Linked DNA regions of Ovis aries. The protein of the gene in region 3 binds, or shares a complex with, the protein of the main gene of each other region. Links are inferred from orthologs where the notes say so. Each region holds a gene or a part of one and is shown on either strand. Other genes may lie near its edges. The genes, in order: GTF2E2, GTF2H5, GTF2A1, GTF2F1, GTF2F2 and POLR2B.

The links.
Region 1: GTF2A1 (region 3) and GTF2E2 share a complex: the UniProt entries of both Homo sapiens proteins name them as parts of the TBP-based Pol II pre-initiation complex. The link is inferred for Ovis aries from reciprocal best matches to the Homo sapiens genes GTF2A1 and GTF2E2.
Region 2: GTF2A1 (region 3) and GTF2H5 share a complex: the UniProt entries of both Homo sapiens proteins name them as parts of the TBP-based Pol II pre-initiation complex. The link is inferred for Ovis aries from reciprocal best matches to the Homo sapiens genes GTF2A1 and GTF2H5.
Region 4: GTF2A1 (region 3) and GTF2F1 share a complex: the UniProt entries of both Homo sapiens proteins name them as parts of the TBP-based Pol II pre-initiation complex. The link is inferred for Ovis aries from reciprocal best matches to the Homo sapiens genes GTF2A1 and GTF2F1.
Region 5: GTF2A1 (region 3) and GTF2F2 share a complex: the UniProt entries of both Homo sapiens proteins name them as parts of the TBP-based Pol II pre-initiation complex. The link is inferred for Ovis aries from reciprocal best matches to the Homo sapiens genes GTF2A1 and GTF2F2.
Region 6: GTF2A1 (region 3) and POLR2B share a complex: the UniProt entries of both Homo sapiens proteins name them as parts of the TBP-based Pol II pre-initiation complex. The link is inferred for Ovis aries from reciprocal best matches to the Homo sapiens genes GTF2A1 and POLR2B.

Annotation. Positions count from the first base shown.
Region 1 is NC_056079.1:25,926,000-25,930,983, reverse strand, and holds the start of GTF2E2 (transcription initiation factor IIE subunit beta), read left to right. Parts: upstream 1-1,542; 5' UTR 1,543-1,773; intron 1,774-4,984. UniProt on the Homo sapiens protein: Recruits TFIIH to the initiation complex and stimulates the RNA polymerase II C-terminal domain kinase and DNA-dependent ATPase activities of TFIIH. Both TFIIH and TFIIE are required for promoter clearance by RNA polymerase.
Region 2 is NC_056061.1:82,453,285-82,458,056, forward strand, and holds the start of GTF2H5 (general transcription factor IIH subunit 5), read left to right. Parts: upstream 1-1,323; 5' UTR 1,324-1,332; coding exon 1,333-1,384; intron 1,385-2,225; exon of another isoform or gene 2,226-2,245; coding exon 2,246-2,309; intron 2,310-4,772. UniProt on the Homo sapiens protein: Component of the general transcription and DNA repair factor IIH (TFIIH) core complex, which is involved in general and transcription-coupled nucleotide excision repair (NER) of damaged DNA and, when complexed to CAK, in RNA transcription by RNA polymerase II.
Region 3 is NC_056060.1:90,666,827-90,671,159, forward strand, and holds part of GTF2A1 (transcription initiation factor IIA subunit 1), read right to left. Parts: intron 3,662-4,333; coding exon 3,341-3,661; intron 297-3,340; coding exon 207-296; intron 1-206. UniProt on the Homo sapiens protein: TFIIA is a component of the transcription machinery of RNA polymerase II and plays an important role in transcriptional activation. TFIIA in a complex with TBP mediates transcriptional activity.
Region 4 is NC_056058.1:15,923,163-15,928,232, reverse strand, and holds the start of GTF2F1 (general transcription factor IIF subunit 1), read right to left. Parts: upstream 3,113-5,070; 5' UTR 2,701-3,112; coding exon 2,689-2,700; intron 2,605-2,688; coding exon 2,558-2,604; intron 2,074-2,557; coding exon 2,001-2,073; intron 803-2,000; coding exon 609-802; intron 1-608. UniProt on the Homo sapiens protein: TFIIF is a general transcription initiation factor that binds to RNA polymerase II and helps to recruit it to the initiation complex in collaboration with TFIIB. It promotes transcription elongation.
Region 5 is NC_056063.1:15,656,738-15,661,791, reverse strand, and holds the start of GTF2F2 (general transcription factor IIF subunit 2), read right to left. Parts: upstream 3,320-5,054; 5' UTR 3,187-3,319; coding exon 3,121-3,186; intron 1-3,120. UniProt on the Homo sapiens protein: TFIIF is a general transcription initiation factor that binds to RNA polymerase II and helps to recruit it to the initiation complex in collaboration with TFIIB.
Region 6 is NC_056059.1:73,095,736-73,100,857, forward strand, and holds the start of POLR2B (DNA-directed RNA polymerase II subunit RPB2), read left to right. Parts: upstream 1-1,870; 5' UTR 1,871-1,960; coding exon 1,961-1,979; intron 1,980-3,095; coding exon of another isoform or gene 3,096-3,572; exon of another isoform or gene 3,573-3,676; intron 3,677-5,122. Other genes in the region: nitric oxide-associated protein 1, read right to left, coding at 1-909. UniProt on the Homo sapiens protein: Catalytic core component of RNA polymerase II (Pol II), a DNA-dependent RNA polymerase which synthesizes mRNA precursors and many functional non-coding RNAs using the four ribonucleoside triphosphates as substrates.

The DNA.
Region 1 (4,984 bases), on a different chromosome or scaffold from region 3:
AGGAGGTCTGAAACAGGGAAGTTGGCAGCCTTTGAGTAAATCTTGACCATTCTGAGCTGATTGCTGCAGAGGTTGTGGCTTGGTTTCTCAAGTGGGCCAGAGTTTTATCAGCATATATGGTCTAGCCACTGTTCATTTATAGGAATTCTCTCATTCATTAAGAAGGAAGCTAGCAGAATGGTAGAATCGATTCCATGAGTAAATTGAGACTTACTGGTAAATTGGTACTTACATAATCACTGGGGAAGGGATGAAATAAAAATAAATTTATACAAAACTGGCTTATGTTTCTCAGACAACGTAATTTTAAGGTTTGGAATTTTTTTTTCAGTGTATGACTGCTCCTCCTCATTACACCTTATCAATTTTTCCTGGGTTATAAAACCTTTGAGTCCCAATAAATTGTTATCCAAATGAAGTTATGTTTCCCGAGGGTGTCAAATGAATATCAAGTGTGTTTATTACAAAATCCTATAGAATGAAATCAATTTTAAAAAGCCATACAGGGACTTCCCTGGTTGCCTTCCAATGAGGGGGCCGTGGGTTCCATCCCTGGTAGGGGAACTAAGATCCCACAGGCTGCTGGGCAACTAACCCCTTGCACCACAACTAGAGCAGGAGCCTGCCTGTCACAATTAGGCCTCAGCATAGCCAAAATAAATAAAATAAAAACGTAAAAAAATACCCACACAACCATCTTTTGGCTTTATTCCCAAGTTTTGATTAAAAATTTTATGTATTATCTCATTCAGTCTTCACAACAATCCAATGAAAGTAACCCATTGTGGTAGTTCAATTATTATTCCCATTTCCCAGATGTGAAAACCAAAACACAAGTAACTTGAGTAACCAGCATTAAGTAAAGGACAGCAATAAAATAGTAGAGCACTGGCCATGCGGTCGCTTCAGGCTGCAGGAGTGAGGCAAGGCCAGCGCCACAATTTGGCATGGTCCAATACATTGCAGGCTGTGGACAAGGGCAGTTGTCTTTTTCGCCGCTTTATTTTTATTTTTACCCCTTTACGCTGCTGCTGAATCCCAAATCCTTTTCTAAGAGAGTTTACAGGGATGGGGGTTCGGAGTTCAGAAACCGGACTTTGCTTCAGAATTTGCCATTGCTGGCGGTGCTGTCTCGAGCCAGTCATTTATTTAGTTTCACTGCGTCTCCTGTTTCAGTTGTGTAGGGAGAGAGCTGGAACAATGTTCTCCGAATTTTAGGTGATGGTGAATAGCATTTAAAGTCGCACCATTTTAGCTGCGGCTACTCAACTCCAGGAGTTGGTGATGGACAGGGAGGCCTGGCGTGCTGCAGTCCATGGGGTCGCGCAGAGTCGGATACGGCTGAGGGACTGAACTGAACTGACTCAACTCCTAATTACGTCCCGCCCCCAATCGTCCTTCCGTTGTCATGGAGATCGGGACGCCCAAGTTGGTAGATTTCCCTCCCGCGATACCTGGGCGGAGCACGGGATGACGCATGCGCGTTCTTGGCGGCCGAGGCGCCGCGGTGCCTACCGGGACTGAGCTCCCGGCCACCCGATCAGGAAGTGGCGGGCGGAGCCGGGGGAAGAGTCGCCGCCTCAGCCGCCGCTTCAGCAGCAGCCGCCAGTGCGAAGACCCCCGAGCTGGCGGGGCAGCGCTGGGCATGCGTGCCGGGCGGCGGAGGCGCTGACAACGAGCCCGAAGCGGCAGCCACGCGGGCGTGGGCGGCTGGTCCAGGCGGAGGCTCTGGGAGGCGGCGGCGGGGCGCGTGGGGCGGCCCTCCTGGCTCAGGTAGGAGCTGCGGACGCCGGGTTTGGGGCGCGGAGCCCCAGCCTGTTGTTCTTCGGGGCCTCCTCCCATTCCCGGGGGCACGCGGCCTCCCATCCCGCGGGAAGCTGGGGCTGCGGTTCCCTGCCCGAAACGCTTAACCCGGTTACAGCCTCTCGGGAGCATTGTTTCTGAGGCCGGAGGTTCAGTGAGCAAAGTTTTGGGTTGGAAAGAGGGGAAATTCGAATTGGAGCGCTGGTCGTGCCTTTCCTGAGCCCCCAAACTTACATTAGCTGTAGCCGCACGGACCAGGTGTGTGGAGTTTGAGGAACCGCGGCGCCCAGCCAAGTAAAGGCTGTGATTTAGGCGCTCCTTCACGGATTTTTTTTTTTTTTTCCAGCTTCCTCTTGGAAACCTAGTTTGGAATGATTCCTAACCTTGAGTTATAATAGTTTTCTGCAGAGTCTAAAGACATTTTCCAAAACAAGTCGCTGCGGTACTTTTTTCACTTCCACTTCTACATTGCTGTCTTTTCAGGGTTAAGCAGTCTCTTATTCTCAGCTTGCCGGCTATTCAAAGCACTATTGGCCCCTGCGAGGCTCAGGCAGGCAAATGAAGCAAGAGAGAAAGAGTTGAAAGGTTGAAAGAAATCAAATGATAAACTGGATAAATGATAAAGTCAAATGATAATATGGGAGGAATGTGGGCTTTGCAGTTAAAAGATTTTCACTGAACTTTTGGCTTCTCAGTGAGGGAACACGTGAACTCACTGAGTTGTGGCAGTGATGTGTGTTTTAATGTAAAACGGGGAAGTTGATGTGTCCTGTTTACTACACAGGACATATGAAACTCTACAGATGCGGAGTAGTCTCATGAGAAAAAGGTGGAAAAGTTAGAGCATGTGATGGTGAAAGACATTAAACCTTCTGTTCTAGGGACCATTGAACTTCACCCATACCACGCAGGTCGCTTTTGTTTTGGAGGCTTTTACCAGTTTTAGGTCTGGAATAAGGAGCACCTGGTTTAGGAATCAATCTCCTGGCGTCCAGGCTGTGTACTTTCAGCTGTGTGATCTTAACTCTGTGTGATAGGATACATACCTGATACCTCATAGAGTTGTGAGGATCAAATGCTGTTAACATCCAGGTCTTTGTAAGGCTTTTATTATGTTAATAATAAATTACATAATAAACAACATAGATTTTATCTATGTTAAAATCGTGATTATAAAAGCCTGGGTTAATAATCTGTCTTTACAAAGTGAAATCAGCAGATGTTTGTTGTTTTAGGCTTGTTCCCCCCCCCTTCCCCCACCACATCATTGGGGAATTCTCCTTTCTTGTTCTAATACACTTTCCCTCCCCCAAGACTGTCTTCTGCCTTCCTCACCTGAGTATAACACTGGGTTATTTCTTTTCAGATCCAAATAATAGTTCTGAAATAACACGTTGGTCTAGCTTTACTACTTAAAAAATCACTTTCACAAACATGTTCTCATTTTATTCTTACAGTTGGGCTAGATGTAGACAGCATTGGTAGTATCCTCATTTTACTTATGATGAAATTGGATTTAGAGAAGTCTAGTGGATTCCCTAGGTCATATTACTGTTAGGGGTCAGAATTTAGGGAGGTCTTAGATTCGAGGTCCAGGGTCAGTGATTCTTCTTTCCTGAACTAAAGTTTGACAAGTTTATTTCTTATCAGTGCTTTTATAAAATTTTATTGAAGTATAGTTAATTTACAGTGTTTCTAATTTCTGCTGTATAGCAGAGTGGCTTAGTTAAACATATACTCTTTGTCATATTCTTTTCCATTATGGTTTATCACAGGATATTGGACATAGTTCCCTGTATTGTACAGTAGGACCTGTTTATCCATTCTGTATAATAGTTTGCATTGGCTAATCCCAAGCTCCCAACCCTTCTCTTCTCTCCTCCCCATCTTGCTTGACAACCACAAGCTTGTTCTCTACAATTGTGAGTCTGTTTTTGTTTTGTAGATGTGTTCCTTTATGTCATGTTTTAGATTCCACAAGTAATGAAATCATATGCTATTTGTCTCTTTCAGACTTAGTGTGATAATCTCTAGGTCCATCCATATTGTGCATATAGACTATTTCATTCTTTTTCATGACTGAGTGATATTCAGTGCTTACATTTTTAACTTTTAGCGTGCTAAGTCACGTTTTATTTATTCATTGCTTTTTAAGCAAGTTGTTGAGTGCTTTCACATTCTCAAATGTAAGCTGCTTACATGCAGGCAAGGATTTATCTTCCAAAACTTTCCAAAGGCTGCAGTGCGGTACAGTGCCCCGCAAACAGAAGACATTTAATAAAGGCTTGTAAAACTTATTAACAGAGAGGCTAGGGCAATTTAAAGATGTTCTTCTGTTTGTTAGTCATTTACAAAATACTTATTGAGCTATCCCATGCCGGAAAGCTTCCAAAGTCTGAGAGTCTCTCTTCTCTCACAGAAGGGTGTGTGGGGTCTGGCTACTTGTCGCTCAAAAGCTAGTAAGCAGGCCAGGTTGGTGGAAAGGAAAGTTTGCTTATTTGAAATAAAGCAGGCTGGGAGAGGGCATATGTCTGTCCAAAGGCCGATTCACTGTGCCGCCCCTCCCTGCCTCCCTCTCCCCCGCCATTGGTGGTGGGGCGAGAGCTTTTATAGATAGAAGAAGGGGGCTGTTGCAGAAACAGCACAGTCAGCTCTGACACTTATCTTCACTTTGGTCATCAGTGGTCTGACCAGCATCACCTTGGCTGCTTTAGGTACAGTTAATCTTCAGTTCCAGGGTCCATTTGTTCAGATTTCTCTGAGGCCAGTTCTCAGAATTGTGGCAGCTTCTGTTGTGGGTACAATCTGGTCATCATGTAGTAACTTCTCCCACCTGGGGTTTCAGTATCTTTAAGACAAGCTCACAGGATATGGCTCAGAATATTATCTGTAGTCATTGGGAAGGAACTAAAGGTCCTTGATTATGCTTAATGACTGCATTACTATTATTTAGTCTCCTTTGATTGTTTCCTCTTGTTTCTTCATTTCTCACTTCTCTGAGTAAATTCGGAACCTTTCCACAGACAGAAGACAGAGGACTTGATGGGGGCAAGGGCCATAGGGTCCTGCTCCGTTTCATTTCCTCTGAGACTTTGCTTATGAGCTTATGAACACTAGTCTAAATAGCATAGAAATCGTTTACATAGTCATTTCGTGTACTTCTGAGACTCTCCATAGCGTT
Region 2 (4,772 bases), on a different chromosome or scaffold from region 3:
GGTCTAATTCAGGTTGGGAGGCATTCTTTAGAGTTCTCACAGGTCATTAACGTGCAGGCATCTGACATCTGGCGCACAAGAATAGAGGTTTGACGGGATGGAACCGATGAGACAGTGAAAGAGGAAAATGCATTCAAGACGAAAAAAAACAATAAATTTAGGAACAACTATTGTTGGGGCAGATTAGAGAGAGGGAGGGAACGAGCATGCGCAACAGCATGGAAACCAACGGGAAAGATTTGAAGCAAAGAAAGAGGGAAATAAATGGAAGAGCTAGATTCCTAAATCACATGCACACACAATTGGAGAAGTACAATTTCACCTAAGGAACAGAAAGCAAGAAACCTCATTTCTCGACTGGTAAAAAAAACAATTAGAGCTCCAATACATTGTTGTTCAGTAGCTAAGTGGAGACCAACTCTTTGCAACCCTGTGGACTGCAGCATGCCAGGCTCTTTCTGTCTTCCCCTATCTCCCCGAGTTTGCTCAAGTCATATCCATTAGGTTGCGTGATGCTATCTAACCATCTCATCCTCTGTTTCCCTCCTCCTCCTGCCCCGTCTTTCCCAGCATCAAGATCTTTTCCAATGAGTGGACTCTTCGCATCAGGTGGCCAGAGTATTAGACTACAGATCCGAATCTGGAGAAGGAAGTAATTTTGGAACTCTCTGGGTCTTTCCTCCGGGCTCGGAGGACCCATCAGCATTCAATCTTATTCATCCTCTCGCGTCACAGCTATAGAAGCTGTGGTCTGAAAGGTTCCAATCTGAACGGCGGAGACTTGTTTCCTCCTCATTTTCACCATCCTTCCTGTGGCCGACGGTACCAGCAGGTGCTCTCTGGGCCTGGGACTGGAATTAAGAGGAGGGTGGCGACCGGGAAAGCAGAGCCGGGCTGCCGAGGCGGGGAAACAGGCCCTCACCTCACGCCCAGCGCCGGGTCAGCGGGTCAGCCAGGGGCCGCGCGCCCTCACTGGGGCGCCCCGACCGCGCCGAGTCGCCGCTCGCCCCACGGCCCGCAGTGCCCGGTTTCGCCTGCATCCGCCCCCCACCCACGAACCCAGCCCTACCTTCCTTACCTGCCGGCGCGCGGAGGCGGCCACAACCCCCTGGCCGTTCACGCAGGACCGAGTTCGCTGGGAGCCCGCCCCGGCCCACTGCTCCCAGTCCCCGCCCCTCTGCTCCCAGTCCCCGCCCCTCCACCGGCGGCGGGCGGCACGTGACCCCGCCCTCGTCTCGCCCCGCCCCCGCTATAAACCCCGCCCACAGCCCGCCTCCTCGCCGGGGCGCCCCACCCTCGAGGCCGTCGCTGTCGCGATGACGTAGAAGGCGCATGCGTACTCTGTTGTCGGTGCCTAGGCGCTGTGGGATCTGTGGGTGGAAAGGTACGTGGCGTCGGCCCTCGGAGCCGTAGGGGAGCCTGGCGTGCGTGGAAGTTCTGTGGGTTTCCAAGAAAAAAGGAGGGGAGGGGAAAGTCCTAGAAACCTGTCTTTCAGGTTGCGGGGATACAGGGTTCCGTCCTGTCTCTCTGACGAGGCCGGGCGGCTGCCCCGCGGCAGTTGAACTGTGCATTTCTTTTGCGGAGGGCGGGGGGGCGGGGGGGGGGCATTGCCCAGCGCCGAGGTGTGGAAGTTTAATAAGAGTTAATTTGGCGTGCGCTGAATGGGTTCCTTACCTTCGAGCGCACGTCACTGGGGTACATATTTTATTTGGCAATATAACACAAGATCTGGAGACTTGGATTGTTCTTTTTCTGCTGGTAGCTGCGACTTAAATCTTTTTGCTCCATCTCATCTGTAAAACGAGATGGTCGGAGCCCCCATATAATTTTTAAGGCCTCTTGCGAAGCTACCATTCTGTGACTCCTATCTCCCAGAATTTTACCTTTTATCGTATTTCTACGTGGGAAAAAGAAATATTTTAAATAATGTACTTGTTCTAAACCTGGATTGGCCACATTGCTGTGGAGTTAGGCCCCATTAGGCTTTCATTAGGAGTGACTGGGGTAGGATTTGTTTGCAAATAAGATTTGTGCATTGTTACTATCCCAAATAGACTCGTTTGAATTTTGTTAAAAGATCAGAATATCTGTATGTTTTCCTAATGTTAGCTCTATGTTTTTAATAGACTTCTATGTTTAGTCTTGGCGTTTAATTTTTTGCCTCTGTTCAGAAGTAAATCACCAAAGGATATTGAAGTTAATGCTTTTCTATTTTGTCACCTTAGGGTTTTGTTACCATTTTTAGGGTCATCAGCACCTTCTGACTGGGAAAAGATGGTCAACGTCTTGAAAGGAGTGCTTATAGAATGGTTAGTAGTTTTGATACTTATTAAGTTTTAAATCTGCACATTGAGTCTTTTTGTTTGTTTTGCACATTGAATCTTGATTTGCATGTGTACTGTTTCCAAAATCCATTTTGTTTTGTTCTTAAGATCTGAATGAATCAAGTCTTTCAGCTTTCTCAACTTCATTTTTCTTGTTTCTTAACTGGTGGGACAAATGTTGTTGCTAAGTTTCTTCCTAGTGCCAGTTTTCAGCATCTCTGTTGAATTGATGTCATTGGCGTTATTTCCAACAAGTTTTGGTCAGTGGCAGGCAGCATATATGTGAAATTAACCCTCTTTAGGGGAACAGTGCTTGTATTTTCAAGTCATCAGTGATTAACTAGAATTTTAGGGCCTGCCAAAGTCACACAAACTTTGGTCTTTAAAAAAGAGAAAAAAACAGGAGAGCCAGTTGAAGGTTTCTTAAACTAGGCACACATTCCAAAGGAGAAACTAAAAGCTGTGGGCAGAGTTAGCTCCCGAGAGCTAAGGTGGGGCTCAATTATCCCCAGTTTGAAAATCTGAGCTGCTGGCCCAGTCTTGCTCAGTCTCTGCTTTTTTTTTTTTGCCTCACCAAATAGTTCTGTTTCACCTGGAAATCCTGCCCTGATTGTCTGAAAATACTACTGTCTACATTTCTTTACCTCTAATGTGAGCTATCATATGGGTGATGATACTGTCTCTGTGGTGGCAATGTTCAGGGAGGAACAAGACCAAACCCTCGCATACTCTGACATTTCAAGCAGCACCATCCAGTAGAAATACAGCATGAGCCACATATTTAAAGTTTCTGGTAGCCACACTGAAAAGTAAAATGAAACAGGTGAAATTTATTTAACTCAGTATACCTGAAGTATTTCACCAGGTAAAAAATCCTCAAAGTTCAGATTAACACTTCAGAATCATAGTAAGTCTTTTTCCATACTATAGAGCTTCAAAATCCACTGTCTTCTGTACTCCTACAGCATAGTCACAGGCTAGCCATATTTCAGGTGCTCAGTAGTGATGTGTGACTAGTGGGCTGCTTTATGGATAGTGCAGATATAGCTTGAATGGAGAGACCACCAAACACAATTAAGAAAACAGCCAGTGAAGTGGGAGGGAACCTAAGGGAATGTTTCACTAAAGCAAGTAGGCTGTGTTAAGTGGTGGTAAGAGGTTGGATAAGATGAAGACACTGGAGGTCATTGATTTTTTTTATTTTTTTTAAATCAGAGCTCCAATAATTTTGTGGAAAGGTGGGATAGATACTTCAGAAAGGGGAAGGGAGGAAAGGAAGTGGAAACTGTCTTGACAGTGAACAAGTGAAGTCGCTTAGTCATGTCTGACTCTCTGCAACCCCATGGACTGCAGCACCCCAGGCTCTCCCCTCCATGGGATTTCCCAGGCGAGAATGCTGGAGTGGGTTGCCATTTCCTTCGCCAGGGGATCTTCCTGACCCAGGGATTGAAACCAGTTCTCCCGCATTGCAGGCAGATTTTTTACCATCTGTGCCACCTGGGAAGCAAAGGGATAGAGAAATGGGTTGGTCACAGAGGAAGGATTTGTTAAGATACTCTGCTGCTTGTTACTTTCACTATTTTAACGTGAGAGACTAGAACGTTTGGTGATGGAAGTAAACGCTAGAAATGAGAGAAACGTTCACTTGGGAAAGCCAAGGGACGGATCTAGATTCCAGAATTCCAAGCATACTGTGCTCTTGTCTTTTGGAAAACACTTCTGAGCTACTTTTTGTTTTTTATTTTTCTTATTACTTTGTCATAGCTAATAGAAACATTTTCCTGGTTGGTCTTTTAATGTTATTTTTAATTTATTTTTATTTTTTTTTAAATTTTTATTTTTACTTTATTTTACTTTACAATACTGGATTGGGTTTGTGTACACCCGTGGCGGATTCATGTCAGTATATGGTAATGTTATTTTTTTAACACAGAGGATCCACACACACATTGTCAGCTGTTTTTCCCTTTTATTTTTTCCAATTCTTCCAAATTTAATCTTCCTTCTGGATTTGATTGGTATTCACCTCTCTCCTAGGGTCTTCATATTTTCCTTTTGATTGATATTTTGTATTTCATTCACCTGGAATTTATTGAGAGAAAGGGCATATTAAATTAGCTGTCTTTTTTTTTTTTTTTTTTTGGTCAAATAGCTGAATAATTGTCCAATAACATTTATTTCCTTCCCTCATGATATGTGATGGCTCTTTTATCACGTCGTCTTTCTGTCCTTGCTACTGTCCTTGCTTTCTGTCCTTCCCTAATCCCATGCCACATCCATTTTTTGTCATTCTTACCTATTCAGGAATAACCTGGGAATAATTTAGTTTGTTTCCAAAATAGTCCTTTTGGAATGATGATTGGAATTGTATTACACACATGCATATATATTTTTTAATGATAGCTGGGAAGCACTTTAAAGAGCAAAACTTTCGGAGAATCATTAAAG
Region 3 (4,333 bases):
CTCACTCCATTAAAATAATCTACTAAAGTATAACACTGCTTTCATTCACACAGCTAAAGTTTCTAAGAGGCACCAATCAGCTAACCAAATGCTTAAACACGGCAGACAGGATGGTTTAAGGAAGAAATTACAATAGCAAAAATATTAGTAACCTGATGACTGGCTTCCCTGGTGCTCAGACAGTAAAGAACTGATTAAATCCTTACCTTATCATACTGGCACACAACAACATTTTCTGTATCAAAGAGTTCCTGACCTTCCTCATCACTCACATCATCTTCACTATTGAGGGGTTCCTAAAAATGAAAAAAGAGAGTTCACTTATTTATATTTCATGTATTACTAAAAAAAGGTCCTTCTAATATTCACTGAAAACAAACACAGTGACCTTGAAGTTCTTTGAGAACCAAGGGCCAGACAGATCCACATATACCATGAACATGTTGTTAACTGGCTGCGTTAAGATTCTGCCAGTGTCACTGAAATTCCAGCAAGAAATTAAATATAGTAATTAAAATAATTAAGCTATATAATTTATATGACTGAAAAGATGTTACTTTACTTCCTTTATTCTTTCAGGATAGCACAAGAAGATAACTCTTTCCAGTAACTATTTGTCTAGAAGTGGACCTAGGAAAATATGAAGATTTAATGAGATAATGGTATTGTGTACCACCAGAAGCAGCTGTGTAAAAAGAAAACACTGGTGGAGTTGGAAGAGGAAAACAAGGATATAAAAAAGGTTGGCAGCCTAGCTAGTCTTGACATTAAAGACTAGGAATAAAAATTAGTATGTCTACTGGTGGAGGCTTAAAGCATAACTAAGGCAACCACATTTTAAAAGAAGGGGGCGGGGGGAATCTTGATGTCAGTAATGAAGAGAATTAAATGCCAAGATCTAGCTAGAGCATAAAATGACCAGTCAAGTTAACCTTGACCTCAGTTGTGACAGACAATAAAATATACAACTCTAATTTCTAATTAATGAAGAAAAAGAAGCTAGGGCAAAATAAAAATGGAAAGAAAAATAATCAAAACAAATACTGTATATGAAATGGTACAGATGACCTTACCTGTGAAGCAGAAACAGAGACACAGACACAGAAAACAAGTGTATGGATCCAAAGGGGTGGGACAGACTGGGATTGGCATATATACACTCTTATGTATAATACAGATAACTAATGACAACCTACTATATAACACAGGACTCAATGATCTATGGTAACCTAAATGGGAAGGAAATGAAAAAAAAGAGGTGATATGTGTATATATATAGCTGATTCACTTTGTTGTATAGGAGAAACAAAACATTGTAAAGCAACTATAGTCCAATTAAAAAAAAAGAAAAGATTTTAAGTCTCTAGGCCTGTACCTATTTACACACATGTATATGTATATATTCTGTAATAAATAGTTATCACCAACATAAATGTAAAAAAGTTTACTGAGGTAAATTTCACCATTTTTAACCATTCGAAGGTGTTCAATTTGCACTTAGTATGTGCAATTATCACCACCATCACCATTTCTATCCAATATTATAGAACTTAGCCAAGTAGGCAAGAAAAACTGCTATTTTTTCACATTTGATTTGATTGCGTACAAAGAACACATGAAAGAGTCAAGAGGCTACCCAGTAAATAAAGATGACCATGCCCGCCGGCACCCCCACCTGAAAATCCTATTTCTTTTGATCATCCCACTGTGTACAGGGAAGGATTAGGTAAGGCGTTAAGTACACTCAGGAAATCAACAACTATATGTTTCTCTTTTCAAAGAGCTTTTTAAAATTTGCTATGATGTTTATAACAAAAAAGAAAATTGAAAAAAAAGTAGTGTAGCAGAAGCCTTTTGCTGCTCATCATTAATCAAGGAAATAAAAATTAAAATCAAAATGAAAAATTTTCTGCCTACCAAATTGGCCAAAAAAAAATTACGAAGCCTGACAATGTCAAGTATTGGTGAAGACATACACAGAGCCATGCATCATTATATACTGAATGCCAGAAGTGTAATTAGTACAACACTGTGGCATTTTATTGTAACTTGAAGATATGCATGCCTTATGATTCAGCAATTCACTCTTTAGGTATAGCACTTGAATGTGTCCCTAGAAGACATATTCCAGATATTTTATAGTTGTACAGTTAACAAGTGAAAACAACCCTAATGCCCAATGTATCACAAAAATGGATAAACTTGTAACATTTAACAGTAAAAATAATTATAGGTATATGCAACGACTTAGATGGACCTCAAGAACACCATCTTGGGAAAAAAATCAACTTGCAGAAGAATACACAATTATTCCACTTCTAAACAGGCATGAAAAACTTAACAATATGCTCCTTAGGAATATAAATACTTATGGTAAAATATAAAGGCAAGGTAGTGACGAACACACAAATTATGAGCAAGGATACTTGGATGGTAGAAGGAAGACGATGAGGATTAGGGAGGGGCACTCAGGGGACTTTATGTTTGGTAAGGGGATTTTTTTTTTTTTTAACTAGATGCAGACACTGGGTTGTTTACACCATAAAATACTTTTTGTTTTATCTATTCAATATTTAATAAAATAGTATTCTTTAAAAAACATTACTTAGATAATTTAAAAGAAGAAAGAAGATAAACCAGAAATCACATTTTAGGTTGTTGCAAAAGGCAGTAACAGTGAAAACCGTGGTTAAGACCAACACCATCTTGACTATAAGTACCTAAGCTGGAACACTGGGGAAAACAAAGATATATTTACATACTTCTAGAAATACACAACAAAAGATGAGTAAGAAAAAATGGTGTGTGAAACTGCAGACAGACAATAAGAGCAGATGAGGTCACCTAAGGAACTCGTATGGAATATCGAACATTGTAACTCTGAAGTGTCTTCTCTTCCCAAATGCTGTTTTAAATTACTGAAGGAAAAGATGAACCACATCTATCTGGTTCTACCAATGTCTTACCCTTAAGCCACATCATGATGAATGTATTAAGTCAGAGAATCAGAATTACTTGCACTGTCATCACATTTATAAGTAAAACCTAATTTGGTGTATGTTTGCTTTTTGTTACCAGCTACAGAAATATTTTATAAATATATCCAGAACAATCTAAAAATCTTATTAAAGTTTAACATTATTAACTTATGTTATGTTAATGTTAAACGTTTAACATTATTTAAAATATTACACTGTATAGTGATTTTTAAATTATTTAAAATCTTACATTGTATAGTACCCTAACAGCCTCTAAAAACACAGAATTCATCAATTTGGCACCAAGTGAAGGAAGAAACAACTGAGCAGGTCCTCATTTCAAGTCTTTTACTAAAACTTACCTCTTCTACTTGCCCATCTTCAGCTCCATCTTTCTCTTTGTCTTCCTCCTCATCATCATCATAGTCTTCTTCTTCATCTTCATCTTCTTCAGATGACGTATCCCCAGTTCCATCAACTTGCAACACCAACGGAGCTTGCTGTTGAGCAGGCTGGGCCTGTGGCTGCTGCTGGCCAGTGGCAGTTATCTGCGCTTGTGCTGGTGTAGGTGCTGCCACTGTTGTAGGTATAACTTGAGTCTTATTTCCTGTAAATAAGATTTGCTGAGGCTGGATGATGACACCTGTTTGTGGTGAAATCCCTCCAGGAAGAGGGGCCAAGACCTAAGACAAAAGAAAAACTACACATTAGAACTAGTTTGAGGATCAAATCGCTCAGATTTATCATTTGATACACAGAAACAGGCCCCAATGGGAAAGAATCACCCTCAGATGACCGTATCTCACATAAAGGTAAAAACTACCAAAGCACAAGAGGAATGTTTAGTGAGTGTACGGATCCACTAAATTTTCATTTTACCATTCAAATTTCTAAAGAAAAACAGATTTTTAAAAATTACAATTGCTACATTTATCAAGTACTTGCTATTATCTATATTTCAGATTCCAGGCCAAAAGTTATATGTTATTAATTTGCTTGAGGTATGGAGATTTAGTAACCTGCAAAGCTCACAAGTCACTAGGAGACAAAACATGAACCTAGGCTTTCTGGTTCTGCTCTTAGTACTATGCTACACTTTCACTCTATGAAGAACACTGATCTGGAAACTGAAGACTTGGGTTCCAGTTCTAAGATCACAGATAAAGATGTAGCAGAGGCAAGTCATTTAACCTCGCTTCATTGTTTAAGGTCAATGGTTCTCAACCCTGCTACAAATTATAACAACCTGTAACTTAAAAATATTGACACCTAAGTCTCTACTTCTAATATTTTGATTTAACTGATATGAGATGATATCTATTCATATTATTTAAAGCTTCCCAGATAATTCTAAT
Region 4 (5,070 bases), on a different chromosome or scaffold from region 3:
CTGTGCACTATACACGACATGGTCCTTTCTGGAAGGACCTGTTAGATGGGCCCTAAAGAGCACAGTGCTCTAGTGTCAGACCCCTCTGGATTCCCCTCCGGAATCTTCCTTGAACCACTGCCAGCCCAGCTCCCTCCGGGCCTCCATCCTTCCCCTTTTCTGCCCCACCATGTGCAGGCAGTCTTACAGAGTGCCCCTTCCCCACCTACAGCCTTCAGGCTGCCCTGGGCCCCAGCCTACCCACAGTCCCGCTGTGCCCTGGCACTCTCAGCCCTCTCAGTCCACCCACTCTGCCACTGTCGTGCGCTGTGACAGTCCCTGGGGCTCGATGTTTCACGCCTTCGTGCTCGCTGTTCAACCAGAGTGCCCTTCATTTCCCTTAATCTCTGTCTCCCCCATGGTTCTCAACCCTCAGCTCTGGGCAGTCCTTGGCTGGGCGCAGGAGGACGGCAGGCCGGGATTCCTGCATCCCTAGCACACACTCGAGCAACCCCTTGGCTCATCTTCCCCAAGAAAACCCCTTCATGGGTGGATGAGCTGTCACCCCCAGCTGCAGGACCTAGAAGTTCGGCCAAGGGTACCGGGGAGTGGCGGGAAGGGGCACTTACTTTCGGCCTGATTTACCGTTGACCCGCAGCAGCCAGGGCTGGTCCTCCGGCCGGAACTCCTTGAGGACAATGCCGTACTTCTTCCTCCGCGCCTCCTCCCGGAGCTTGCGGTTGAACTCGCTGCCGGCGCCCGACTCCGGCATCTCCTCCTCTTGGTAAATCTTCTTGTTGCTCAGGTCTCGTTCCAGCCGGGCCTGGGAGACGGAAGGCGAGACTTCTCATCAGGCAGCCTGCTCCCCATCCAACAACACCCCTTCCTCCCCGCAGGCTGAGCGGTGGACCCTCTGAGCCAACTTCCCGCTTGGCGAAAAGAGGCTCTGTGAATGTGGGCGAAGGGATCTGTCTAAAGCCCGCTGCGATGTCTGTTTTTGCAGCTTTTTGAAAGTTTGAAGTTATTTCCAAATGAAAAATTAAAAAAGAAAAAAAGAAAAAAAGACACCCCAGAGTCCAATAACTTCTCGTAACCTGTTTGCTGCAAACCCCATCACAGGCTCACCTGGTCCAGAGCCTTCACCTCCGCCCTGTTCTCCCTTCACTTGCCCTCGACCCCACAGTGGACAAATCTCTTTACAGACTGTTTGTAACCCTTTAATAGCCTCTGCTATGGATGAATGTTTGCATGCCTCCAAAATGCATTCTTTTTGGCTGTGATCTCGGACTTCTGGAATCTTAGTTCCCCCACCAGGGATGGAACCTAGGCCCCCAGCAGTGAATGGGCTAGAGTCCTAGCTGGAGTCCTAACCGCTGTATCTACAGGGAATTCTCCCCAAATGCATATAACCTAATTTCCGGTGTGATGGTATTTGGGGGCGGGGCCTCTGATAGATGATGATTAGGTTGTGAGGCTGCAGCCTATTAGGAGTGAGATAAGTGCCCTCTTTAACAAAGGATTCCAGAGTGCTGTGTACCCAGGTGAGAGTACAGTGCAAAGGCACCAGCTATGAACCAGGACACCAGATCTGCTGGCGCCCTGATCTTGGACTTCCAGCCTCCAGAACTGTGGGAAATAAATGTCTGTTGTTTACAAACCACCCAGTCTCTGGAATTCTGCTAGAGCAGCCTGCAACTAAAACAGTTTCTAAAGACCGCTCTGGAGTCTCCAACAATAGGGGCTCTGAGTCACCTCTAGGAGGCAGCCCCCTCCTCTCTTGCCCAGATAGATCTCGACCCAGAATGCCCATCAGTGGGCACAAATTTCAGAAGAAAGCCTCCTGCAAGGCCACACATATCTTGTCCTCAGGGGTGCCCAGAGGCTCAGCCTGGGCCTTAGTTATCATTTATCTGCACGTGGGGAGAGGGGAGGATCCTAAGCCTTAGTTACTATCACAACCAAGCAACTATTACATCAAATCCAGGGTCAGGTTTTCTCACAGCCTCAGAACTCGGACTTACCTGATTCCAAGTAGTGAGGTTGACTTTATCGGCTGCATTGAAAGCCATGATATTGTATTTTTTGGTGGTATTTCTGGTATGGGCAAAAAGAGGCAGTGCTCAGTTAATCATTCATTAATTCAGCAAACCCTCCCAGGCTCAGTTCTTTGTGCTGGGCAACGCTGGGGACCCATGAAAAAAACCCCAGAGATCAGTTAAGGACAAATATTTCTGGGAACTCAAGATGGGATAATTGGGAACTCAGCCCTGGGCAGCGGGGTGGACAGGCAGGGACTGCCTCCTGAAGGAGGAAAATACTGTAACGGAATTTCGCAGGATCAAAAAGAATCCACCCAGTAGAGTCACTGTTGCCATTCCTGGCTGAGGGAATCCTAGGCAGGCAGGCTGCGTGTTACTGTATATTAATGTACTTATTCATTCACTCTGTTAAAAAAACAGTGATGCCCCAGAGGCCTCGGCTCAACCCCAGCCCTGGAAGAAGAATCAGACACTCCTGGAACCTCGAGATTTTAATCCTTTTCTGGAGGGAAAGGGGGTTGGTAGGGTCAGGGACTTACTTGGGAACTCGGACGACATACTCAGTGACATTCTGGCTGCTGGGGCCCTGAGGGGAGAGAAAGCAGGACAGTGAGTGAGAGGCTACAGAGGCCACCGGGACCGCAGCCGAACCGCCTGGCCGCACACTTACGAGGGCCGCCATGGGCGATGGGCGATTGACCCGGGTCTGATCAGAACCTTTCTTTACGCCTCCCTCCGGGTGCGCGTCCCTCGGAGGCCGCCCTCGAGGTGTCCGGTCTCCGGCCCGGGATACAACCGATCCTGGGGAAAGCTATCCGGAGGCGGCACTGGGTCGGCGATTGGCTTGAGACCGCCTGTGCCAAGTCTGCGCCTGCGCAGCCGCCTAAACCGGAATCGAAATCCTCCCGCAGGCCTAGGGGAAGCAACCTACTCCCAACTGAAGGTAGCGCCTTCTGTATCTAGCGCTCTGGCGGCCCGCAGTTTGTATAGCACGATAATCCCATCAGGCCGATAACCTCATCACGCGGATAACCCAAACAGGTGACGTGAAGACGCCCCCAGTGACATTACATCTCAGGACCGCGGGGTATCTTGGGAAGGAAGGGAGGAAACCCGCCACCCTCGCGGCCTGTCGGGCCATTTGCGCATGCGCTACTTTACTGCGGAAGTGAGTCCGGGGAGGTCGCGTTACCACAGCAACCGAGGCCTCCTTGGCAGCCGACTGCTGCGGCTCTACCTGAGCCTCTTTGGGGTTCATTTCTCCCCACAGCCCCCGGGGGTAGCCCTATCATCTCGCCAAATAATCGGGCCAGGGGCCCTTGTGACGTTGAACCGAACTAGGAGAGGTCAGGGCCTGTGTAGGGGATGGAGTGCGCTCACCCCACGGGCCTCAGGCGGGTTGGGTTTGTGCAAGTCCAAACTGCCCCAAATAGGCAGGCCCCTGAGGCCCCAGAAGAAGGGAAACATCGCGGGGGTGGCTGGTTTACTCGGGAGAAGGGAAGGAGGTTATGGAGGGCGGGAGAATGCAGGTAACCCCTCCTCAAGTCCAGGTGTGCACACGCCCTTCCTCCCGGCCCCCTACCTTATTGTAACACAACTTCGCATGCTCAGGGTCAGGTATTCAGTGATCCATGTTAGCACCTGCTGGGCTTCCCTTGTGGCTCAGCTGGTAAGGAATCCACCTGCAATGCGGGAGACCTGGGTTTGATCCTTGGGTTGGAAAGGTCCCCTGGAGAAGTGAAAGGCTACCCACTCCAGTATTCTGGCCTGGAGAATTCCATGGGTCACAAAGAGTCGGACACGCCTGACTGACTGACTGACTGACTTTCACTTTTAGCACCTGCTGCGCTGGATTCTGGGAAGTCCGTGGGGAATGTAGGAAGCCAGCACTATAAACTACAGGTCTCCATAGATGTTTCTGATAGTTATGGACATTTATCTACTCCTCACTTGCTACGATTATGTCAGAAACTATGCCAAGTACTAGAAATACAGGGACAAGGAAGACAAACAGATTCTGTGTTCTTGTAGTACATAGTCTGACTGGGGAGACAAACAAGAACAAGTAAACGGGCAGACTCATTACTGATAGTGACCATTACTGGAGGAAATGGAATTCTTTTTGTGGGGTGGTGGGGAATTAGGGTTTTGAGACTGGGAACAATGGGGTGGGAGGCTCTTTAGACAGAGATTAGCTGAAGGGTGAGCTGCAACCTGAAGGGACTGCAGTATGGACTTCCAGCAGGGGTGGGGGTCGGGGAGGAGCAACAGGGAGGTGATGAGTACAAGGGTCTGAAAGGAGGCCACTGGGCTGAAACAGTAAAGAAAGGGGAGGGTGGTATGGGATGAGACTGGAGGGGTGGACAAGTCCCTGTCCGTCTCAGAGCCTCAGTTTCCTCAACTGTAAAAGGGGTGATTCTTCGAGGAGAGGCTGCACACAAAGGGCCTGACCTGCTTGGGTTCACACCTCATCCACATGACCTATAGCAGTATTAATGGGTGCCGTGCCTGGATATATCACTGGGTGTGGACACACACCCCCAGATACCACCCTAGGGCAGAAATAGATCTTCCAGCAGACATGTGTCCAGCGTAACCCATTGTAACTGTGGACACAATCCCCTCAGCACCAACTGACCCCTACAGGCACCAACCCCTCTCCCCTGTCCCTCTTCCTCAGGCACGCAGACATCCTCAAGTCCCCCTGATCGTCTTTGTGATGGGCGGTCCAGGCTGCGGAAAAGGGACACAGTGCAAATACATGGCAACCAAGTATGGCTTCTGCCACATGGGGCTGGGCCAGCTGCTGCAGCAGGAGGCCCAACGGGGCACCTGGTGGGGCCAGAAGATCCATGACTTCATGCTGCAGGGGATCCTGGTGCCAACAGTGAGAGCTCCCAGGCACGGCAGCAGAGGGATGAGGGGGCCCATTGGGAGGGGCTTCCCAGGAGGATGTAGGAGCTGAGGGGCCTCTTGAGGGCAGGGGACACTGGCTGCTGCTTTGTCAACTGAGCCTCTGTGTCCTCAACTGTAAAATGGGAGAGGAGCTGGA
Region 5 (5,054 bases), on a different chromosome or scaffold from region 3:
ATTAATTAGGAACAGAAATGGCCCATAAACTTGCGACACTGTAGGAACTCACATATTTTGCAACAAATGATCCTCAAAGATCAGAGCTCAAGGCATGATTTATAATAAGAAATATGAACGTCTACCGAAAAGATTTAAAATTGTATGCAGTTCTATTCAAATTCTAATTTGAACAGAAAAATTCTAATTTGAACTATCATTAGTAAGACCTCTTTTTAAAGCAATAAAATATATTCAAATGGCCATATAAGAGAGAACACTAAAATTTCTTTAGTTTAGATTTGTAACTTTCTCTTACATCCTCATTTAGTCAGTCACCACATCCTGACAACTTTTGCTGAAAAAGTTTCCCTAACTCCTGAGACTTCACTATCAAATGTCTAGGATCCTGTGATAATTTCCTAATTTTGACTCTGGTTATCTTCTCTTCAAGCTTCCCCCCTGCCCCACCCCGCTTAAAGAATCATTTGTATCCCTGCCTTACTCAAAACCCTCCAAGAGTCTCCTCATTTCCTGTAGACTAGAGTTAAAACTGGAGAAGGCAATGGCACCCCACTCCAGTACTCTTGCCTGAAAAATCCCATGGACGGGGGAGCCTGGTGGGCTGCAGTCCATGGGGTCTCAAACAGTCGGACATGACTGAGCGACTTCACTTTCACTTTTCACTTTCATGCATTAGAGAAGGAAATGGCAACCCACTCCAGTGTTCTTGTCTGGAGAATCCCTGGGACGGGGGAGCCTGGTGGGCTGCCGTCTATGGGGTCACGAAGAGTCGGACATGACTGAAGTGACTTAGCAGCAGCAGCAGCAGTGTTAAAACATTCCCACTTCACAACGTGATGATGTCAGTATACGGTCCCAATCCGCTACTCCAGGCATGATGTCCTCTTTGTTTTCCAGCCCACACCACATTACTGTGCATTCTCACTCCTGCATTTCAGAACCACTCTCCATGGTATGCTACGGAGATACTATGGCCCCCCATCCAAACCTCTGTAAGGCAAACATTTATTGAGCATCTACTGCGCTCCAAGCAGAAACACATCACCTCAAGCTCTCGCCACCTTTTCAAGCTCTTTCCATCTGCAAAGGAGATCTCCTCCCTAATGATCTCTCTCCATCTAGCATGCAGGAGGAGAGAGATACTTGGTTACTCCATCATTTTAAATCACACTGATATCACTGTGATAAGTCAAAGCAGCACCAGAGATTAAGGCTAGGGTTGAAGAATAAGAGTTCATTCAGTCATTCATTCATGCATGCATACATCACATTATCTGAGCTATTTACCTTACACCAAACACAGTTCTGGGTGACAGGCAAGACGCCTACTCTCGCGAAATATGACTGTGCATGTGCTTTGAAGAATGTTAATACAGGCTCAACATGCTAGTGAATAATCATAAGGGCAGGAGCAGGGGACTACAGAAGATGAGATGGTTGGATGGCATCACCGACTCAATGAACATGAGTTTGAGTAAGCTCCGGGAATCGGTGATGGACAAAGAAGCCTGGTGTGCTGCAGTTCATGGGGTCGCAGAGTCAGACACAACTGAGCGACCGAACTGAATCATAAGGGAGCTACATCAGAGAGGAAGACTAGAAGGGCCTCTCAGATTTAACTGATAAACACTCAGACGTGTGATAAAAGCTTTCCAAAAATCTAACAAATAAAGGTCTCTATGTTTTACTTGAGTTTTCAAGACTATCATAATCACATTTTGAATATACACATGTCTTATGAAAACTTCCTAAGAAACAACAGTCCCCAATTTGAAAAAGTAAGGGATAAATAGTGTACTCACTAAGTGAAGAAGTGAAGGTTGCTCAGTGTCTGACTCTTTGCGACCCCATGGACTATACAGTCCATGGAATTCTCTAGGCCAGAATACCGGAGTGGGTAGCCTTTCCCTCCTCCAGGGGATCTTCCCAACCCAGGGATCGAACCTAGGTCTCCCACATTGCAAGTGGATTCCTTACCAGCTGAGCCACAAGGGAAGCTCAGTAAGTACTTACTAAGGGTTAATCAAAATGCTGCCTTTACCAAAAAAAAAAAAAATTACTGACAGTTTCACCTGAGACACAATCGAACTCTAAAAGAACACTCCAGTCCACAGTCTCTCCTTCCCTGAGTTCAGAGCACTCTCACCTCTCCTGGGAACTCCATAAGACCCATCAACCTAAAAGAACACCTTACGAGTGAAAGTGAAGTCACTTAGTCCTGTCCAACTCTTTGGGACCCCATGGACTGTAACTTATCAGGCTCCTTCAAAAGGGATTTTCCAGGCAAGGATACTGAAGTGGGCTGCCATTCCCTTCTCCAGGGGATCTTCCCCACCCAGGGATCGAACCTGGGTCTCCTGAATTGCAGGCAGATGCTTTACCATCTGAGCCACCAGGGTACTCAGAGAACAGTTCTACTTTCTGGCTCAGAAAACTACCCAGAAAGCAAACGCTCAACTTTCTTATAGAGATTGATGACTGAAATCAGTTTCAGCAAGTGGAGATGAAGAAATTCTTCAGCCTGGGATAAAATGCTCAAACTGGGGGGCCATCAAGACAGGAGCCCAGAAAAACCAGGTCGTGGGATAAGGAGATCCATTCCAGGCACGTTCAGACTCTTAGTTGGCTAAAACACACTGGGTGTCCCTGAACTAATGTCCTCGTCTGCAAACAAGCCTACCAACCAACCCTGCCTCTCAAGGTAAGCGAAGTTCTAAACGAGAGAGCCCTAATGAGTTTTAAAAGGTGCACAAAGTGGGACGGTCTCAAGTTACGTGTGTGTGTGTGCGTGTGTGTGCGCGCGCGTGTATGTTAGTTGCTCAGTCGTGTCCGACTCTTTATAACCCCATAGACTGCAGCCCACCAGGCCCCTCTGTCCATGGGGTTCTCCAGGCAAGAACACCGCAGTGGGTTGCCACTTCCTTCTCCCAAAGGAACTATAGAAAGAAAGTGAAGTCGCTCAGTCGTATCCGACCCTTTGAGACCCCATGGACTGTAGCCCACCAGGCTCCTCCGTCCATGGAATTTCCCAGGCAAGAGTACTGGAGTGGGTTGCCAGTTCCTTCTCCCCTCAAGTCACTTAAACTACTTTAAAAGCGAGAGCCACGCAAACCTTACCTTGACCAGCCACACTCCGGTGTTCTGTTTGGCGCCAGTCAGGTCGAGTTCTCCGCGCTCGGCCATGGGTCTGTCGCCGGCGGAGACCTGCGGACTTAGAGCAGCGGCCCCGGGAGCGGGTGACTGCGGGACGAGGGAGCGAAGCACACGGCGAACCCTGGCCGGAGGTTGACTGTGAAGAGCCCGCGGTCCAACTTCCGGGATGCCGGGAGCCCTGGGAAAGAAGAACACACACGGCCGGCAGCGGGGAACTGCGCCTGCGCACTGCGGCCGTCAGTACGGCGCGCTACTGAGGACAAACTTCATCGGCGTGCACCTTCTTGAGTGGGCGTGGCTACTTCCAGGGACTGTGTCTGAGTAATTGAAAACGAGGTTGGGATGGGCGCAAACATCAGCAGTACATATAAAGACCAGGTCAGAGTAACAGAAGAAAGTGTCAAAACAGAAAAACGGGGTTTAAAGAGACAAAGGCTGTCAGTGTATGTCCAATCCAGGCCAAGGAGAGAAAGACAGCATTTGGAGGACAGGTAGGAGAAATGAATAAAATGAATTAGCAGAGTGGTCTTTATTGAAAGGCTACCCTGAGCACCTTCAGTTAAACGAGTAGGGCGCACCCCTTTAAGACTCCAAAACCCAGAGCCCTTTGTTTTTTGTTTGCTATTGTTTTTAATTTATTTTTAATTGGAGTATAAGCGCTTTACAATGTTATGTTAGTTTCTGCTCTACGACAACATGAATCAGCTGTAAGTGTACATAAGTCCCCTCCGTCTTGAGCCCCCCTCCAACCCCACCTCTATCCCACCCCTCTAGGTTGTCAGAGAACCCCGACCTGAGCTCCCTGTGCGCTACAGCAACTACCCACGAGCTATTAATCGCTTTTTACACATGGTGGTGTATACATGTCAGTGGTACGCTGGCAGTCTGTCGCGCCCTCTCCTTTCCCGGCTGTGTCCGCAAGTTTGGAGCCGTTTCATGACGTCAATGACAATAGACATGTAACAGAAAACTCTGATTGTTCAACTCCCCTGCTTAAAGAGTCTCCCCTCTCTCTTCTTGCCTCTAGAATAAAATTCAGTCCTCTCCACATAGGCCCTCACAGTTTGACCTCATCAAAGTGTGGTGTACTCAATGCACCACGCATCTAAGCCCATCTAACCCGTCAGACCTCCCGGAACGTATCAGAATGTTCCTCAATTATTCAGAGCCTCTGCACACTGGATTCCCTTTACTCAGATGCCCTATTCTTCCCGTACTGCCTTCTGATTGGCAGACACCTACTTAGGTTTCAAGATTAATGGAAATGTCTCTTCCTATGAGACCTTCTATCAACTCCCCCAGAGGAAGATAATTTTTTCTTCCCGTCACAGTGTGCGTTACTTAGCACGATGAGCTATAATGCACTCGTTTACATACTGCCTTTGCTTTCTAGACTATGCGCTCTTCCTAGGCAGAAATGGTGGGTTTTCTTGTTGTTTAATCAAAGCATCTGGCACAAAGCTGACACCACATCAGATTTCAGTAGGCTTTGGCTGAATGAACATTTGCATGAAAAGAAACAAACAGTAAGATATTGTAAGAATGGCAAGTGACGTATTGAATCCTGCATCAGAACCATACACAGAATTGAAGAAATTCCATGTCTATTCAGCCTAGGGCTAGGAAAAGCTGTCAGGGCTCTGAGATCAGCTGGGGAAACCTAACAGGAAAAACAGGAGATCAGGAACATGTTGAAGAGGAAGATCACAGTCTTGTGTGTTCTTTAAGGCTCAAGAAATGGCCTTAAAAATATAAAAAGGACAAGTGGATAAAGAGAGCTGCTTTAAGCTTTGGTCAAATAGAAGGAATAAATTGGACTTCCCTGGTGGTGCAGTGGATATGAAACGAATCTGCCTGCCCATGCAAGGGGCCATAGGTTCGTTCCCTAGTCTGGGAAG
Region 6 (5,122 bases), on a different chromosome or scaffold from region 3:
CTCCCGGAGCCGCTGCCTGTAGTTGGGAGTGTCTTGGGGCAGCAGGTCCAGCTTGTTTCCCAGCACGATCAGTTGCTTGGGGCCCACCAGGGCGGGCAGGTGGGGCAGCAGGGTGTCGGGCAGATCCAGTAGGTCCACCATGTACAGTACAAGAGCTGGCTCGGGCCGCCGCAGCGCGGCGCTCACCAGCTCCAGGAACTGTCCCTGGCTCACCTGAAGGCGCAGGGCGCGCCGGTGATGAACCAGCAGCCAGCAGCGCTGGCATACAGTCCGCTCCAGCCCCCCTTCCTCCGCCAACGCGCTGTTAAACTTCTCGCTGGGTAGGTAGCCGGGAACGCCGGGGTCCTGGCAGTGCAGCTCCGCACCGCACCCGGAACAGTTCTGGCCGCTGGGCGGCACCGTCGGGTCCGGGTGCCCCACCACTTGGTGTACCCGCCGGCCGGCGCCTAACTTCTGCTGCCGCCTCACCTCTCGCTGCTGCTCTATCCGTCTCTTCTCCTCCTCCTGCCGCTGCTGCAGCTCCCGCAGCTGGTCCTGGAGGGTCGCTTCCGACTCTGAATCCAGGACGTACTCAGGAAACAGAAAACTCTCCTCTAGGTCAGCCCCTCCTGGGTTACCCCCAGTCGCCGTCGCGCCACGAGGAAGGCCACGTCCCAGGCCCGCTGGGTGTCGGGAGGAGTAATCGGTAGCGCATCTCCTCTCGAGGAGCGTCTCCCGGACGCCGTTACGCGCTACAGCGGGAGTGGGTCCCCTCAAGAAGCCGCAGAGAAGCCTGCGAGCTAGGCGCGCGGGCAGCATGAGAAATGCAGGTGTGGGCAAAGGGGCGGAGCCACCTTTTCGCTCGTGCACTGTGGCCCCAGATGAATGTAAAACAGCAGAGACAAGCCGGGAGTACCTGAGAGCCGTCATTCGTCAGCGTGAAGCTCCTCCTTCCACGTCTAATCTCGTGAGTTCTCGCGGTGAAGGCTCTGTGGCCCGGAAACCTACTTAAAGTGATACCCGGGACTTAGATTAGAAAGTGAAAGCGAAGTCTGTCGCTCAGTCGTGTCCGACTCTTTGCGACCCCGTGGCCTGTAGCCTACCAGGCTTTTCCGTCCATGGGATTCTCCAGGCAAGAATACTGGAGTGGGTTACCCTTTCCTTCTCCAGGGGATCTCGACCCAGGGATCGACCCCGGGTCTCCCGCATTGGAGGCAGACGCTTTAACCTTTGAGCCACCAGGGAAGCCCTAGTCGGTCGAATAGGCTAGTTAGTGAGGGTTTATCAACTTTCAGGCTTGTTTAACGCGCTGTCCCTGGCACCACCTGCTGTTAAAGGAATCACATTGTTAGGAGCTACGTATTTGTCTTTAGAACTGGAAAATTAAAAATCGAATGTCGCAGACTTACAGCCACAATTAAAACCTTTTATTAATACATCTTGGCTTTTTTTCGGGTATCATCATTCGTGCAACAGCATTAAAATCACATTTCTTAAACATTTAAAAAAATATGACGCATAATTGATGTACACAAATCCTTGTTAAAAGTTTCGGGTTTTAAAATCTTTGGAATTGAAAAAAATAGAGCACGGCGACAATTAAACCTTTTATTATTAAATCTTTCTTTCTTTTTTTGGTGCCATTATTTGTGCAACAACACTAGAAAACAAAGCTTCATTGGCAGGAGCCAACTCGGAGACCGTAAGCAACGGTCCTCCCACTCCAAGAACAGGAAACCTCAACTCACAAACCGCGCCTGTGCAATGCTAACCCTTAACCACGCTTTTTCCCCCCTTGCCCTTCGCGCAGGCGCAGACCTTAACTGGAGCCTTTGTGGGCGGGGCTTCGTGTGGGACGCAGAGTATTCTGGGAACGCCGGAGACGGAAATTACTTCGCCTCACTTTGCTGTGGTCGGTGGCAGCTACGCGTCTTTCTGTGTGTGATTTCTAGATTGACGGGTTCGGGAACCGTTTGCCAAGATGTACGACGCGGACGAGGGTAGGTGACCAGTCAGGGCACTCCTCGGCGACACATTTACGGGGGGGAAACGTGGGGAGTTGGACGAATGAAGGATTTACGGCCCCCTCCCCGGCCTCCCCCACCACGTCCCCAGTCGTTTCCCTACATCCCCAGGCCGGATCCGAGATTTTGAGAGGTGGAGGGTGCGGGGAACGTAGCCTTTATGATCTCGGTCAGGGGGACTCTGGTTCTCTTGGTTGAATCTGACACTCCCTTCCCGTATTGAAAGTAGCCTGAAGACCCATAGGACAGGTATAGTTGTTTTGATATCGTCTGAAGCAGAGCTCCTTTTCAAATTTACGTAAAGGCCAGAGCTAGTGGATTTGTTGAATAGTTTTTGAGCGTCGGCCTTTGCCAAACATGGTGCTGCTGCTGCTGCTGCTGCTAAATCGCTTCAGTCGTGTCCGACTGTGCGACCGCATAGACGGCAGCAGGTTCTGGTAATACCCCGCGGACAAAGAATATAGTTTCTCTCTCTTTCTGTGTGTGTGTGTGTGCCAAACTTGATCTAGTTTGGCATTCCTTCATGTTGCTATATGCAGTTCTCGATGGTATGCATTTTACTGAACAGGGACGCTATGTCTTTTTTTCTTTTTACATGTAGAAATCTTAGTCATGAGTAGTGTATTTTCATTGTATATTTTTAATGCTCCCTCTTCTATTCTCCACAACTCCTTTTTCAGAGTTCATTTTCTTCTAGCTCCCAACCTCCTGGTTGCCCCTCACTCTTCCGTTCCTTCACTTCATGGAGAAAATAGAAGCAGAAACTTAAGGTCTGCTGTTTAAACTTGTGTCCCATTTTTATCTTGCATCTAGAAATTTATTAGTATCATTGTATTCTTTTTCTTCTATTTGCGAAAAAAATTCCCTAAAAAATCTTAGCTTAATTTTTTAGTAGGTGATATATTCTTGTTTCTCACAAGCTAGAAGACATAAAAAATGTTAAAAGGGGTAAATGATCAATAAATATAAAACTAACTTCATTATTACGGCTCCTTTTCCAGCTTTATTAGCTTCTCCTGTGTGCCTGTGATAATAACATCTAGTGTGTCATCAAAACTAGAAATCTCTAAGCCGATTTAGATACCTTAATTTTTTTTACCCCGCCGGGACAAGGAGGAACAGGGCCTGACCCTACAGGTCCTTGATGCCTCATCCCTTAGTTTCAACACCAGGCTGAAGTGGTTTGCCATATGTTTCGCCAGTGGCATCTTCTTCATCCTTGGAACTGGATTGCTGTGTCTCCCTGAAGGCATAAAGCTTTTTGCAGCGTTTTATACCTTTGGAAATACTGCTGCCTTAGCCATTACATGCTTTTTAATGGGACACGTGAAACAACTGAAGAAAATGTTTGAAACAATGAGATTGCTTGCAACAGTTATGCTTTTGTGTTTCGTGCTCACCCTGTGCGCTGCTCTTTGGACCCTGTGCACTGCTCTTTGGTGGCATGAGAAGGGACTGGCTGTATTATTCTGCAGATTGCAGTTCCTTTCAATGACCTGGTATAGTCTGTCATACATTCCATATGCAAGGGATGCAGTAATTAAATGCTGTTCTTCTCTCCTAAGCTGAAAACTCTTTGAAAAGAAGGAGACTGTTTGAAAAGACCTTTTGAAAGTCGATGTTCTGTTTTTGGTGAAGTGGCCTTTTCCTGTTACAGTGATCACTCCAGAACAACTGCACTGACCATCTAAGACCATTTTGTATACTGATAAAGTTACATACCCATTAAACTGTTAAGTGCTTGTGACAGTAAATTCATTATGTGCCATTAGTATGCTCTTTCAGAGACAAGGATATTTTAATCATTGCCAATTGCAAATGATTTTTAGCCAATTTTTAAATCTTTTCTAAACAGCATTTGAAATGTAAATATTTAAGGGTAAACCTTCACTGCAAGATATAATCAACTTTTTTGGTGGCTTTTACATGTTTACATTAAAAAATATCTTTTTAAAGTAAAAATATTTTATTTAAAAAATAAAAATATCTTTTTAAAATAAAAACTTTAAATGTGAAAGTTTTACTTTAAGCATTGCTTTATTGTATGTAACAAAAATAATGTAGAAATCTTCATAATTTCATAATAAACCCACACTTGGAAAAAAATTAAAAAAAAGACGAGACTAATATTAGGACCAGTGCACACTGATTTTTCAAATGCCCCATTGCACACATGACTATTGCTGTATGACTACCCCAAAATTTGGGTGCTTAGAAATTATTTAACATGTTCATGAATTAAGTGGGCTAGGAATTTGGGCAGAGCATAATAGGAATGGCTTGACTGTTGACTGATGCCAGTGGTTGGCAGACACAAAGGCTGAATATTGACAGCTGGGGATTGTGATCTGGAGTGTTTACTCACACTCTGCGTTCAGTGCATCTGGCATCTAGCCTAGGAAAATTCAAGGACTAGGATTGATGAATGGAACATCTCTGAGTGGCTTCTCTGTTTAGGCTTTCTCACCTAAGTATACCAGCCTTAAAGTAATAGGGCTTCTTAGTCACAGGTCCAAATGTAAGTATTTCAGCAAACAAGGTGGAATTGGGTTGCTTTTCCTGATCTAAAGCTTCTAAAATTGTGTAACATTGGTTCAACTGTATTCTCTTAGTTATGGGAGATTCAAAAACCCATCTAGAATCAAGGGGAAGAAGCATAGACCAACCTCCCCCACCCTTATATCTTGATGGTAGGAGTGTTAAAATCACTTTATGTAAAATGGAAGATACATGTGGCCATCTTTGGAAAATATAGGCTGTCATCCCTGTCCATGTATGAAATCTTGCTGTAATAGACACTGCACCTTAATGTATTGCCCAGCTATTGGAATCTTTTGCTGACTCCTGCCTCTTAGCCTAATCTCTGACTTTGGATCAGAGGACTGTGAGCTAGCTGTTAGTTATTATAATATATTTAGCTGTTAATAAGAGTTACATGAGCTTTCTGGAGAGGATGGAACAGTTATAAATTCCTATGACTATGACTTGTACTGAACCTTTCTCATGAGACCTCTTTGTGAATTGGGAGAATATCTATGTGACATAGACTCGTGTGTACGTACATACATACATTATTTCATTACAATTCAAGTAATGATTGAGATTTTACAGAAACGGGG